2 linked regions of the Coturnix japonica genome follow. The protein of the gene in region 1 interacts with the protein of each later gene in a pairwise test. Links are inferred from orthologs where the notes say so. Each region holds a gene or a part of one and is shown in the gene's direction. Other genes may lie near its edges.

Region 1 (4,920 bases):
TGTGGGAGCCATAGTGGTGAGGCTGGTCTCTTTTCAGTAGTGTGTGGGGACAGGACTAGGGGTAATGGGATGAAAGTACAGCATAGGAAGTTCCGCACAAATGTGCACAAGAACTTCTTTACAGTGAGGATGACGGAGCACTGGAACAGGCTGCCCTGGGAGGTGGTGGAATCTCCTTCTCTGGAGATATTCAAGACCCACCTGGACACCTACCTGTGTGACGTGGTGTAGGGATCCTGCTTTGGCAGGGGGGTTGGACTCGATGATCTCTAGAGGTCCCTTCCAACCCCTACAGTTCTGTGATTCTGTGATTCTTTCTGTGTTGTTGTCCACAATCTGCTAACTTGAAAGGAGATGAGGAGATTTCATCTTAACCTCATGCTACCAGAAATGTAATCTTAGATTTCTAATTAAAGATTGCTTTGCTGTTTATTTGCACACATTGCAGTATGTGAATGCAACGCTGGATCTAATTGAAGGAAGCATGACGGTCACGACTACTAAGAAGACTTTTGATCCGTATGCGATCATCAGGGCTAGAGATTTAATAAAACTTCTGGCAAGAAGCGTTCCATTTGAACAGGTTTGTAGCCAATAATGTTGTAATGCTTATAAAGTTGTATGCTTTCAAAATATGGGTTTTTCAGGTAGTAGTGAAGTGCTGGAACAGGTCACCCAGGGAGGTATGTATCTACTCATCCCAGGAGATTCTTAAGGTCAGGCTGGATGGGGCTCTGAGCAACTTGATCTGCCTGTAGGTGTCTCTGTTCATTGCAAAGAACTGGACTAGATGACCTTTGAAGGTCCCTCCAATTCAAGTGATTCTATAATTATATGAAAATATATATTTAAAACAAACGTATCTGCAACTGAAATGAGTCTTTTGGCTCTTGTGAATGTTACTTTTGGATTCAGATGTTAATACCTGCTGCTTTTATCTTCAGGCAGTTCGTATTCTTCAGGACGATGTTGCGTGTGACATCATTAAAATCGGTTCCCTAGTGAGGAACAGAGAAAGTTTTGTAAAAAGAAGAGGACGACTTCTTGGGCCCAAAGGATCTACTCTGAAGGTATTCCTCATAAGTGTATTACCATAAAAAATCTTAAACACAAGGTCTGCGTGTCAGACCTTCAGCTGACACTATCTTTATTCATTTTTGTTGTTCTAGGCCCTGGAGCTGTTAACCAACTGTTATATTATGGTTCAAGGCAACACTGTTTCAGCTCTTGGACCTTTCAGTGGGCTAAAAGAGGTAAGGGAAGGCAGATGAGCAGTTTATGTAGCTCACTTTTGTGCCTAGCTGTGGCGTGGAGTACAGGCGGAGTCTGGTAGCCTCAAGAGTTACTCCACTGTCCTTTCAGTAACATGTTATTAAGCTACTTTTATGTGAATTCCTATAGGCTTAGCTCCTGAATTTTGTTAGCTGCTGAGATCTTTCCGCCTTGAAACTAAAAGTATTTTTTGTGGTTTTTTTTTTAAGGTAAGGCTTAGTAAAGATATCAAAGGGGCACCTTCATGTATTTCTGAATAGTGTGTCTAGTCCTGCCCCTTGGGCTTTTATTTCTGTAGCTTACAGTGCAGAATTTCTGTAGTTTCAGTTAAGAGGTTTGAGTGAAAACATCGCAGTGTTAATGTGATATAGCATGGATTAACATCTAGTATATTCTTAGTAATTCTAGAGGGAATAATAGATGTCAAAAGCTAAAACACAACATAACATCCATGATGGCATGAAAGTAGTGGTTGTTGTGATGCTGCAGTGTATCAGAAGCATGACAGTATAGCTAACGATATTTTTGAAGCACTGTGCCTTCTAATTGGCTTTGTAGTTTTTTTAGCCTATCTGCTCTTAGTTTTGGGGTGAGAAATGTTCTGATTTTGAAGAAACTTAGGGACCTTGATATTTTAATTGATTAGAGTATGAAGTACCTGCTGAGTGTTCCATTCATTTTCTTTTATTAAATACAGGTTAGGAAGGTTGTTCTGGACACAATGAAGAATATACATCCCATATATAACATTAAGGTTGGTGTGCACCTTTGAAAGCATTAAGTCTTTGTACACAGCTTTATGTTAATAATTCTATGTTTCAGTGTGTGCTATACGAATATATATAAATGTATATGTGTAAACTGTGCTATAAGAACCTTTGATAAAACTTTTAGTTTGGAGCTCTTAGATACTACTGCAATACTATTGTTTTATTAACTTCTTTGTGATGTTCTAAAACTACCAAAGACTTTGATGATCAAACGTGAATTATCAAAAGATCCTGAACTGAGGACACAGAATTGGGAAAGATTTTTGCCTAAGTTCAAGAAGAAGAACTTGAAAAAACGCAAGGAGCCAAAGAAGAAAAATGTTAAGAAGGAGTACACACCATTCCCACCTCCACAGCCAGAAAGCCAGGTCAGCTGAAACTTTATTTGGTTGTGCAGGAGTATATGGTGGTTTTAAATCCTGCTCTCGTTAAGATGAAGTTAACGGGCCCTTTCTGTCATGTTTTTGTTTCCTGATATTATATATCTTGCTTGTAATGTGTAATTGTCTAAAGCTTCTTGGTAATTTTCTTGTATAGATTGATAAAGAATTGGCAAGTGGTGAATACTTCTTGAAAGAAAGCCAGAAGAAACGAAAGCGAGTGGAAGAAATAAAGGTAAATTTGTTACAACCAGTTAAAAAGTGCTTCATTTCTGACTTTGGTTTTTTTCCCTTTTGCCCGGCTCTGTTGGTACTTCATACTTGTCATTGTTAACTGTAGGCAAAGCAAGCTGATGCAGTCAAGAAAAGACAAGAAGAAAGAAATAAAGCTTTTATCCCACCAAAGGAAAAGCCAGCTGTGAAAGCAAAGAAAGGTAAGTTGTTTTTTTTTCCCCCATTCTAAACCCTACTAGTTAATTCTCCACATAATTACTTTGTGTAAGATGTAGCCATTTGAATTCCGTTGAAAGATTTGTGTATCATGCTAGATTAAGTAAAAATGATTGGAATAGTTTATAAAATCATTAGTGAACATAAAATGAATCCTAACTAATGCTACGGGATGCAGTTTAATGTGGATACACATGAAGTAATCTCACAGGCTGTGGAAAAATAAGAGAAGTAAACCTTGTGTCTCTCTGTGCTCGTGTTTTTACTGTGTAGCTTCTACTGAGAAAAAAATTGATATTGAAGCCATCAAGGAGAAAGTAAAGAACGCAAAGAAGAAGAAATTAGGAGCGCTTCCTATGGAAGAAGTCAAGTTAAAAATGGCAGCAGATGAAAAGAAGAAAAAAAGGAAGAAGTAATTCACTGCTCATTCTGCTCAATTTTCTCCTACAATAATGAATGTTCTCACACTTGGAAAAACCAAGACTTGGAGGAAACTTCTTGCTGTCAATGTAGTGTGGATGAGAAATTACTAGGCAGAAAGATGGTTCTCTTTTCACAAGCCCATTTTAACAAATGGACCTGGAGCAGCTATGCAGAATTGTCAAAGTTGGTGAACAAAATCTGCTCTCTCATACCTTTTGAGTACATTTGGATAACACCTGTCTGCTTCGAGGACATTTCATATTAGAAACATTTAGAAGTTTGATGCAGAATGTGAAAGGGTAAAGGTTGGAGAACTCAGTGGGAGTTAAATGGAAATCTTCTATGAAAGACTACCAAAGAACTGTCAAGATGGGCAAGATTTATTACTTTTATTATGCTTTTACTTCTGTAAAAGCAGGGGGTTTTTTGTGTGTCTTGTCTTGATGTCAATAAACTGTTTTAATATATTGTCTTTAAATCCTTTAATTATTCACCTACTGCAAAACCCACATCTTGTATCCCTAGAAGCAACTCACAGCTTCGTGTGAGGATTAGACAACCATAATCTTAATTGAACACCATTAATAAATGGTCATTTATTAGCGTTATCTTGTTAGGCAGAATATGACACAAAGCAAATGTGCTGCAGGGAGAACATAAATGGTACCATTCTTTACATGTGTTCTTAATTTATTTCTTACAAGAAATGAGAACTTAGGTTCCTTTTAAACTTTAGGTTTCCTTTATTCAGCCCCTTCCCCTTTTTTTGAAGGAAGTATAGAGGTTATTTCCTAAAAGTGGAAATTATGATGAAATTGAGTACACTAGAAAAGCAGATGTTACTAAGTTGATGCATCTCAGGTTCGAGAAACAAATGTAATAGTAAGTAGGTGGTCGGGCCACACCAATTTCATGACTGTGTTTGAGTGCTTTACCAGACTTTAGAGTTCTGATTGCTTGCACATATGGTAAAGACGATTATGCTGGAACACTGCAGCTCACTTTGCTTAGGTTAGTGGCCTTTTATTTGAAACTGGTGTGAGAACACAGCTGTTTTCTTTGTTATGCGTCTAAATAAGAATTTAGAACATATGTTAAAGAGTCAGTGTGTGTGTGTGCATAGAGAATCATCTAGGACCTCTGCCCTTTAGGGTTGGGGACAATCTTGGTATGACTTTCAGTTACCTGGTCTGTTCTTGGAGTTTAGTTCTTGAAGAGGAAACACAGAATCACAGAATTGTAGGGGTTGGAAGGGACCTCTAGAGATCATCGAGTCCAACCCCCCTGCCAAAGCAGGCTCCCTACACCACGTCACACAGGTAGGCGTCCAGGCGGGTCTTAAATATCTCCAGAGAAGGAGACTCCACCACCTCCCAGGGCAGCCTGTTCCAGTGCTCAATACTCTGTCATTCATAAATGGCAGTTTAATTACTTATCATGTGAGAAAGTACTGCTCAACAGATGCTTCACTGAGAAAACAAGTAAACTGCACACCCATCACAGAAGCTGTAGTAAGCCGATACGTTTAGGGATACCAGCCCCATGATAAGCTCTTAGACACAGTACTTGATAGGTAGTGGTTGATGGCATGACAGGGAGACCTGAGTTCAGTGTCAGGTGGGTTA
Region 2 (6,242 bases), on another chromosome or scaffold:
CACAGGAACTGCTAAAAGGGATGAAAAAATCCTCACGGAGGTGAAATGCAAGGGAAGAAAGGCAAAAGAGAGGGAAACAGTAACTCATATCAGAGGTAAAATGGGATGCAGAAAAGTCCCTGTCCTCAAGACTTATGTGAGAGCAGGAGGCAGGCCAAGGGCAGTGGTGGCAGGGGGAGATCAGCCTTGTGCAGGCCAATGGCCCCTTCATTACCCCTTCAGTCAATCAATCCCATGTCACTGGAGCCCCTGTCTGGAATTACAGCAGCGCTGCCAATGTATATTTTAAAAGACTCTCATCCAATATTTAAACAGGAAGATCCCTGGTGCAGTGGCAAGCTGCTAAGGAAGAGGGGAGCAGGCAAGGTGGCCCACAGGGTCAAGTGGGTGTTATCATGACATCTGTGGGCACAGAATGCTTTCCTGGGGGAAGCCCGGTGCAGGGAGGTGCAGGGAAGCACTATGGAACAAACCTGTTCTCCCCAGAGGCAGCTGGGAGGGCTGCATCCAGGAGGGACCTTGCACGCTTGGCTAGAGAAGGGTAAAGATACCCTGAAAGACACCAGCCTTGCTGTGTACATGGAAGCTGCTCCTCTGGGGACAACTGGTACAGCAACAGCATCAGAAGCAAAAGGCTGTGCTGTCCAAAGGGGCTCAGCTGCAGTCGTTCATTGCACTGACCTCTTTTCATGCCCGAGCAAAAAAAGCTCCAGGCACTACAGAGGTTCAGAAATTTCCCACCAGCCAGCAGCAAGTTCTGTTGTCTAAGCAGAGGCATTAGACTCCCCCAGCAGAAGTATTTTCAGGCTTTCAGATTGTGCAATCCCCCCCCATGGAACAACTGTATGGAGCTTCCCTCATACCTCATCTGCAACCATCTGCTTCTCCTCTGGTTTAATTGAGGAGGTATTTATAAAAGCAGAGCAGGATCAGGCCCAAAAAGCATATTGCAAATGCTATTATGTCAGATTTGATCTGTCTTTTTTTCCAAAGGTCTTTGATGTTTCCCATCTCTCTCCTGAGCCCTATTTAAATCAGTAGGAACTGATTTAAATATTCACTCGCTGGATTGCCTTAATGTAAAACTTTACACATTGGCATTCTATTTGCTGTAGAGGTGGAAGAAATCTCCCATGATAATTGTTCTAGGAGGGAGACCCCGCACCATCATTCACAGCTACAAAGTCTATGTCTCTAACATCAGCCTTACCAACCGAGAATTATGTGCATTTAAATCTCTCCCACCAGCTCCTTAAGAGAAAATGCTCTGAAGACTTCCACATATTAAAATATCTAAGTACATCCCTTTATGGGAATAATTCCAAAATACCCCCTCATAGACTCATAAATCTTCAGTGAGAATGACAGAAAACGCTACGCATCCAGCTCTTACAGGAAATAAGGAAGACATTAACAGCATTAGAAACCTACTTGCTTTCTGCAGAGATGTCTTAGCACAAAGCAGTGTGTGCAGCTGGGCTACATTAGCAGGTAAGCCTCATCCACGAGCCTCCTGGCATCAGACAGCTGAACAAAGGGGCTGAAGGTCCACAATGTCAACAGGGATGTTTATTGTAGAGTCTGTCTGTTTGGTTTTCTTTAATGGGTCAGGCAAGGTCGCTGCACATTAAGCTTGGGGTTTAAGGTCTTAATCAGAAGCCTTGAACAGAGCGGCGGTTGTCCTTCTGGATGAAGACCTTAATAGCTCAATACCTCAATAACTAGGAGTCACCTGATGGCACGATGGGTTAGGAGCGAAGCAGAATCTCCCATTCTCCATTCAAGCCTCTTGCACAGCGTGGGATTTTGTTGGCTTCAAACAGAGTCATACTTGCACCCTCTTTGTGGCCACTAAGGTTTAATGAAGCCTCAGTGGAAAAACAATGCTGTCCTGTCGAATTACTCCAGGCTTTCGCAGGGGACCGGAGCAACCCCCTGCCATTTGTTTATGAAGAAATGTTCGTGCAACCAGCTCAGGCCTGTGTCTGTAAAGCTCTCCCAGCACAGCTCTGTCAGCAGCACGAAGCTGGCGCTAAAGCAGCGCCAAGGAGAGCAGCCCTCAGGTGTGGGGCACCTGCTGTGTGTCCCATCCCATAGGGAGAGGACTTATGCCTCACAGACATGTCGTACAGCACTATTAAGCAGCGTTTATAGGTACGTAACACGGCCCTTATCGAACACGAAAGGAAGAAGCTCTCAGGACAGACTCCCCTCAGGGCGGGGATGGCTCGGAAAGATGGCGCCGCCATCTTGGGGAGAACAGACCGGAAGGGTGGGCGCCGCCATCTTGGGGAGGAGACACATGAGGGGAGGGCGCCGCCATCTTGGGGAGGGGACACGTGAGGGAAGCGCGGCCGGTTCTGCTCCGTAGCGTTATTTACGGTGCTAACGGGACCGCCGGGCTCTGTATAGAGAACGGCAAAGCGCTGCTCAGCGATACCACAAATATCTCCGTGCCGGCGGAAACCGCCCGTAGCCGCCATCACTTCCGGGTGAGCGCGGTAATCCCGCCTCCTGACCCCCATCACTTCCTTTCCAGCGGCGGCCGGCGGAGCAGACGTGCAGGTGAGCGCGGCGTTGTGTTGTATCCGCCGCCATCCAATCTCCTCCGGTTCGCTGTGCTGTCCCTGCCCGCTGCCCGTCTCCTCGGGACCGGGGCCGAGCGGAGCAGCGCGCTCAGTGCCGGCGGAGCGCGGTGTTTAGGCCGCGGTGTTTAGGCCGCGGTGTTTAGGCCGCGGTGTTTAGGCCGCGGTGTTTAGGCCGCGGTGTTTAGGCCGCGGTGTTTAGGCCCGCGGTGTTTAGGCCGCGGTGTTTAGGCCGCGGTGTTTAGGCCGCGGTGTTTAGGCCGCGGTGTTTAGGCCGCGGTGTTTAGGCCGCGGTGTTAGGCCTCAGCCGAGCCGGGAGCTGGCGGTGTTGTGTGCCCGCCAGGGGTAGGGGGCGGCCGGAGGGAGAAGGGTCCCTCGCTCTGAGGCTTATAGTGGCGTGACTGAGGTGAATGTGACTGAGTTCAATGGCTGTGTGAGCTTCTGTGTTACTGCAGGGTAGTAATGGCGGTGGAGCCTTGCACCAAGTGTGTCAGGAAGGGGATTCAGCTTTGGAGTGGCCGTGTTGGCCCCTGTTTAACAACCGGGTTTAAGTGCTGCTCTCTGTAGAGGCTTTGGGGTGAAAGCAGGGTGTGTTCTGAGCTGATTTCCTTTATAATATCGTTATAATTCTTTCTTTTCTAGTCGAAGGCCTCAGACCCTGTTTGACAATAGGAGCAGATGTGTGGGCACCTATCCAAACACTTTGGCATGCTATGTTTGCCATCCTCCACATCAGTGAAGGCTTTAGAGGCAGAAGCAGCACTTGAACTGGACCCAGCGGTGTGGTTAGGTGGCTAATGAGCCCCTGGTGGGACTCAAAAGGTCTTTGAGAGCTTTGTGATAGTGTCTGGGTCTTTAGTAAATGTTTTGTTTGATGTTGTCTTGGCTTCCATTAAGTAAATGAGTGAGGGGAAGTCCTCAGTGCTGCTGGTCATCGTGGAAGGGGTTTCCTCACACTGTTGTGGTAGCCCATGCAGCAAACAGCTGTGATAAAGCACATCTCAGTTCCTTCTGTGAAGTGCAGCCCTGCTAAGCCAAGATGCAGTTCTGAAATGTTTCTGCTCTTTGTTCAGAAATGGCACCTCGTAAGGGCAAGGAGAAGAAAGAAGAACAGGTCATCAGCCTGGGACCTCAGGTTGCTGAAGGCGAGAATGTGTTTGGGGTCTGCCATATCTTTGCTTCCTTCAATGACACTTTTGTCCACGTGACTGATCTCTCTGGCAAGTGAGTATTGCACACTGGTCACCTCATTGTGTTACCCGGCTCCTTCACTTTGGAAAAGAGTAATTATATTTGACATGGATGTCTGCAGAAATCCTTGAGTTTCTACTGAAATAGAGACGTGGTTCTGTCAGTGCATCGAGGCTGTTTGGCAGGAAGGAAAGGGGAACTGCTTTGTTTCTGAATGGGTTCTTTTGCAGGGAAACCATCTGCCGTGTGACTGGTGGTATGAAGGTGAAGGCTGACAGAGATGAGTCCTCTCCCTACGCAGCTATGCTGGCAGCCCAGGATGTTGCCCAGAGGTGTAAGGAGCTGGGCATCACTGCCCTGCACATCAAGCTGCGGGCTACCGGTGGGAATAGGTATGTCAGAGACTGCTTGGCTTTATGAACTAGACCAGGTTACATCTGATTGTCCTCTGGTCTTTGTGTTCTTGCACTGCTCAAGTTGGCAGTGTAAATGCACCTTGGGAGTTTGGTTCTGACACAGGGTGTTTGGCTGACATTGCTTTTCACTGAGCAGCTGGGATCTGTTCTAAAGTATCATTTTCAGTTGGATGTACCTGGGTGTGCTGTTATGTATTTATTTGTGGCAGTGAAAAGAGGAGCTTTTAAACTTGAAGATATGTTACCATAGAGTGACAATAAAGTGTGCTTGACTGCATGTGAATAGTTTGGATCTGGAAGGGGAAGAAAGGGAATTTGATATCTGAGTGTTTTGGAGCAGGGAAAAGTGATTTTTTTTCTTTTAAATTGACAGTTATTTGTTATTTATGTTAAACTTGTGAATCTTTAAGGGATTATTAGTTGTGATTCTTTCCTTTAGGACCAAGACTCCAGGTCCTGGTGCTCAGTCAGCTCTGAGAGCTCTGGCCCGGTCTGGGATGAAGATCGGCCGCATTGGTGAGTAATGGAGAATGTGATTTGTGGGCACTCGTGCCTCTGTGTAGAGCCTTGCTACTCTGAAAAGGTTTTGAGGGATTATTAAGTAGAAGGAGCTCTGTGAACGTGTGTGACAGGTTGACTTGGGACTGTTGTGCTTAGCCTTTGTCTGATGCTGCTGTAGGTGTAATTTAGTGGAAGCAGATGCATCTTGTTTCAGTGAAGTTTAGCCAGAAGGTGGCGTCAGTCGACTCCAGATTATCAAGCTTTTGGCTGCGTAATAAACCTCAGCTGTACACTGGGATGCTCATGGGCCTCTGATGTAACTGTTCTTTTTCCCAGAGCAGCAGTTTAGTTACCTAGAAGTGTTGTGCTGGTCCTGGTTTAAGACCATGACTCAGAAATAACTTGAATTCCTCAAACTATTTGAGGGAGATCATTGAACTTGGTGGGGAAGTTGTAAGGAAGGCGTAGTAGTGTCAGCTGCCCTCAGAATTGCATCATGCACAAACTGTTTCTCTAGAAATCCCGTGGCTTCTTATGTAGGTGAGCTGGGAGATGGGGATGTTTGTGTCCTAAGCTTTAAAAGCCTTGGGGCTGAACTCATTTGGTGAGTTCACAGGTCTTACCTCCTATAGACAGTTCATTCTGCGGTGACAGGCTGCTTAAGGTGACTGCTTGGGCTGGGTGGGTTTTCCCAGTTGGTTTCTTGGAGGTACCTCTGTCAGGTAACGGAGGGTTTCTTGGTTTTCTTTCTCCCACAGAGGATGTCACCCCCATCCCCTCTGACAGTACTCGCAGGAAGGGTGGTCGCCGTGGACGTCGTCTGTAAACAGTGCTGCACCTTTTGTCATTAAAGCTCTCTTATAAACTTGGTCTGTGCGTTTGCTTACTGAACGATGCTTGGAAGTTGAGCAGCTTTAGTTTGATGGCATCCACGAATGGCTTATTCTGAATTTCCCTCTGAAGTGGGGCTTCCTGTTTGTGGGGAGGTTGTTAGTCCTGCTGTAACAGAGTTGCTGTGTGAATACACACTAGGTAGGTGCTGGCTTACTGCTCTCAGCTGTGCTGTTGGTATATTTATGCTTCCAGATGTGTTTAAGAGAAGTGACTGTTTCCTGGTCCTGCCCTGCTTCCTGCACTGTTGTTTACTCTCCACTAAATGTGCTGCCATCATCTGGAATGAATAAATGCCCTTTTCCACCTTTTCGAAAGGTCCTTTTCCTTAGCTCTCCAAGCTTTGAAATCACTTGTTTTTGCCACTTCTTTGGCTATAGTAAGCTTTTATACCAAGGGAAGACGTTGGCATGTGGTATTTGAGATGTACAGCTTCAGATGACTGAGTTCCTTTATGCTTGCAGCATCAAGCTGGCAGTTAAAATAGATTCTGCCTTTCAAGAGAGCTGAAATGATCAGAATTCCCCCCAGGAAGTGGTGACTTCAGCCCTCATACAGAAGTACCTGCTTTGACATGGGTCAGCCTCGTGCTGTTGTGTGATTGCTGGGCAGCACAGCGTGCAGTGGGTGGTTCAGGTGCTTGTCATCATCTTCCTCT

What was found.
Region 2: the proteins of KRR1 (region 1) and RPS14 interact in binary tests that used the Homo sapiens proteins (3 or more experiments, as listed by UniProt). The link is inferred for Coturnix japonica from reciprocal best matches to the Homo sapiens genes KRR1 and RPS14.

Annotation. Positions count from the first base shown.
Region 1 is NC_029516.1:34,296,609-34,301,528, reverse strand, and holds the end of KRR1 (KRR1 small subunit processome component homolog), read left to right. Parts: intron 1-448; coding exon 449-583; intron 584-944; coding exon 945-1,070; intron 1,071-1,169; coding exon 1,170-1,253; intron 1,254-1,969; coding exon 1,970-2,026; intron 2,027-2,239; coding exon 2,240-2,410; intron 2,411-2,579; coding exon 2,580-2,657; intron 2,658-2,762; coding exon 2,763-2,856; intron 2,857-3,145; coding exon 3,146-3,288; 3' UTR 3,289-3,763; downstream 3,764-4,920. UniProt on the Homo sapiens protein: Part of the small subunit (SSU) processome, first precursor of the small eukaryotic ribosomal subunit.
Region 2 is NC_029528.1:4,931,846-4,938,087, reverse strand, and holds RPS14 (40S ribosomal protein S14), read left to right. Parts: upstream 1-2,326; 5' UTR 2,327-2,565; intron 2,566-3,658; 5' UTR 3,659-3,660; coding exon 3,661-3,809; intron 3,810-4,006; coding exon 4,007-4,168; intron 4,169-4,631; coding exon 4,632-4,708; intron 4,709-5,451; coding exon 5,452-5,519; 3' UTR 5,520-5,563; downstream 5,564-6,242.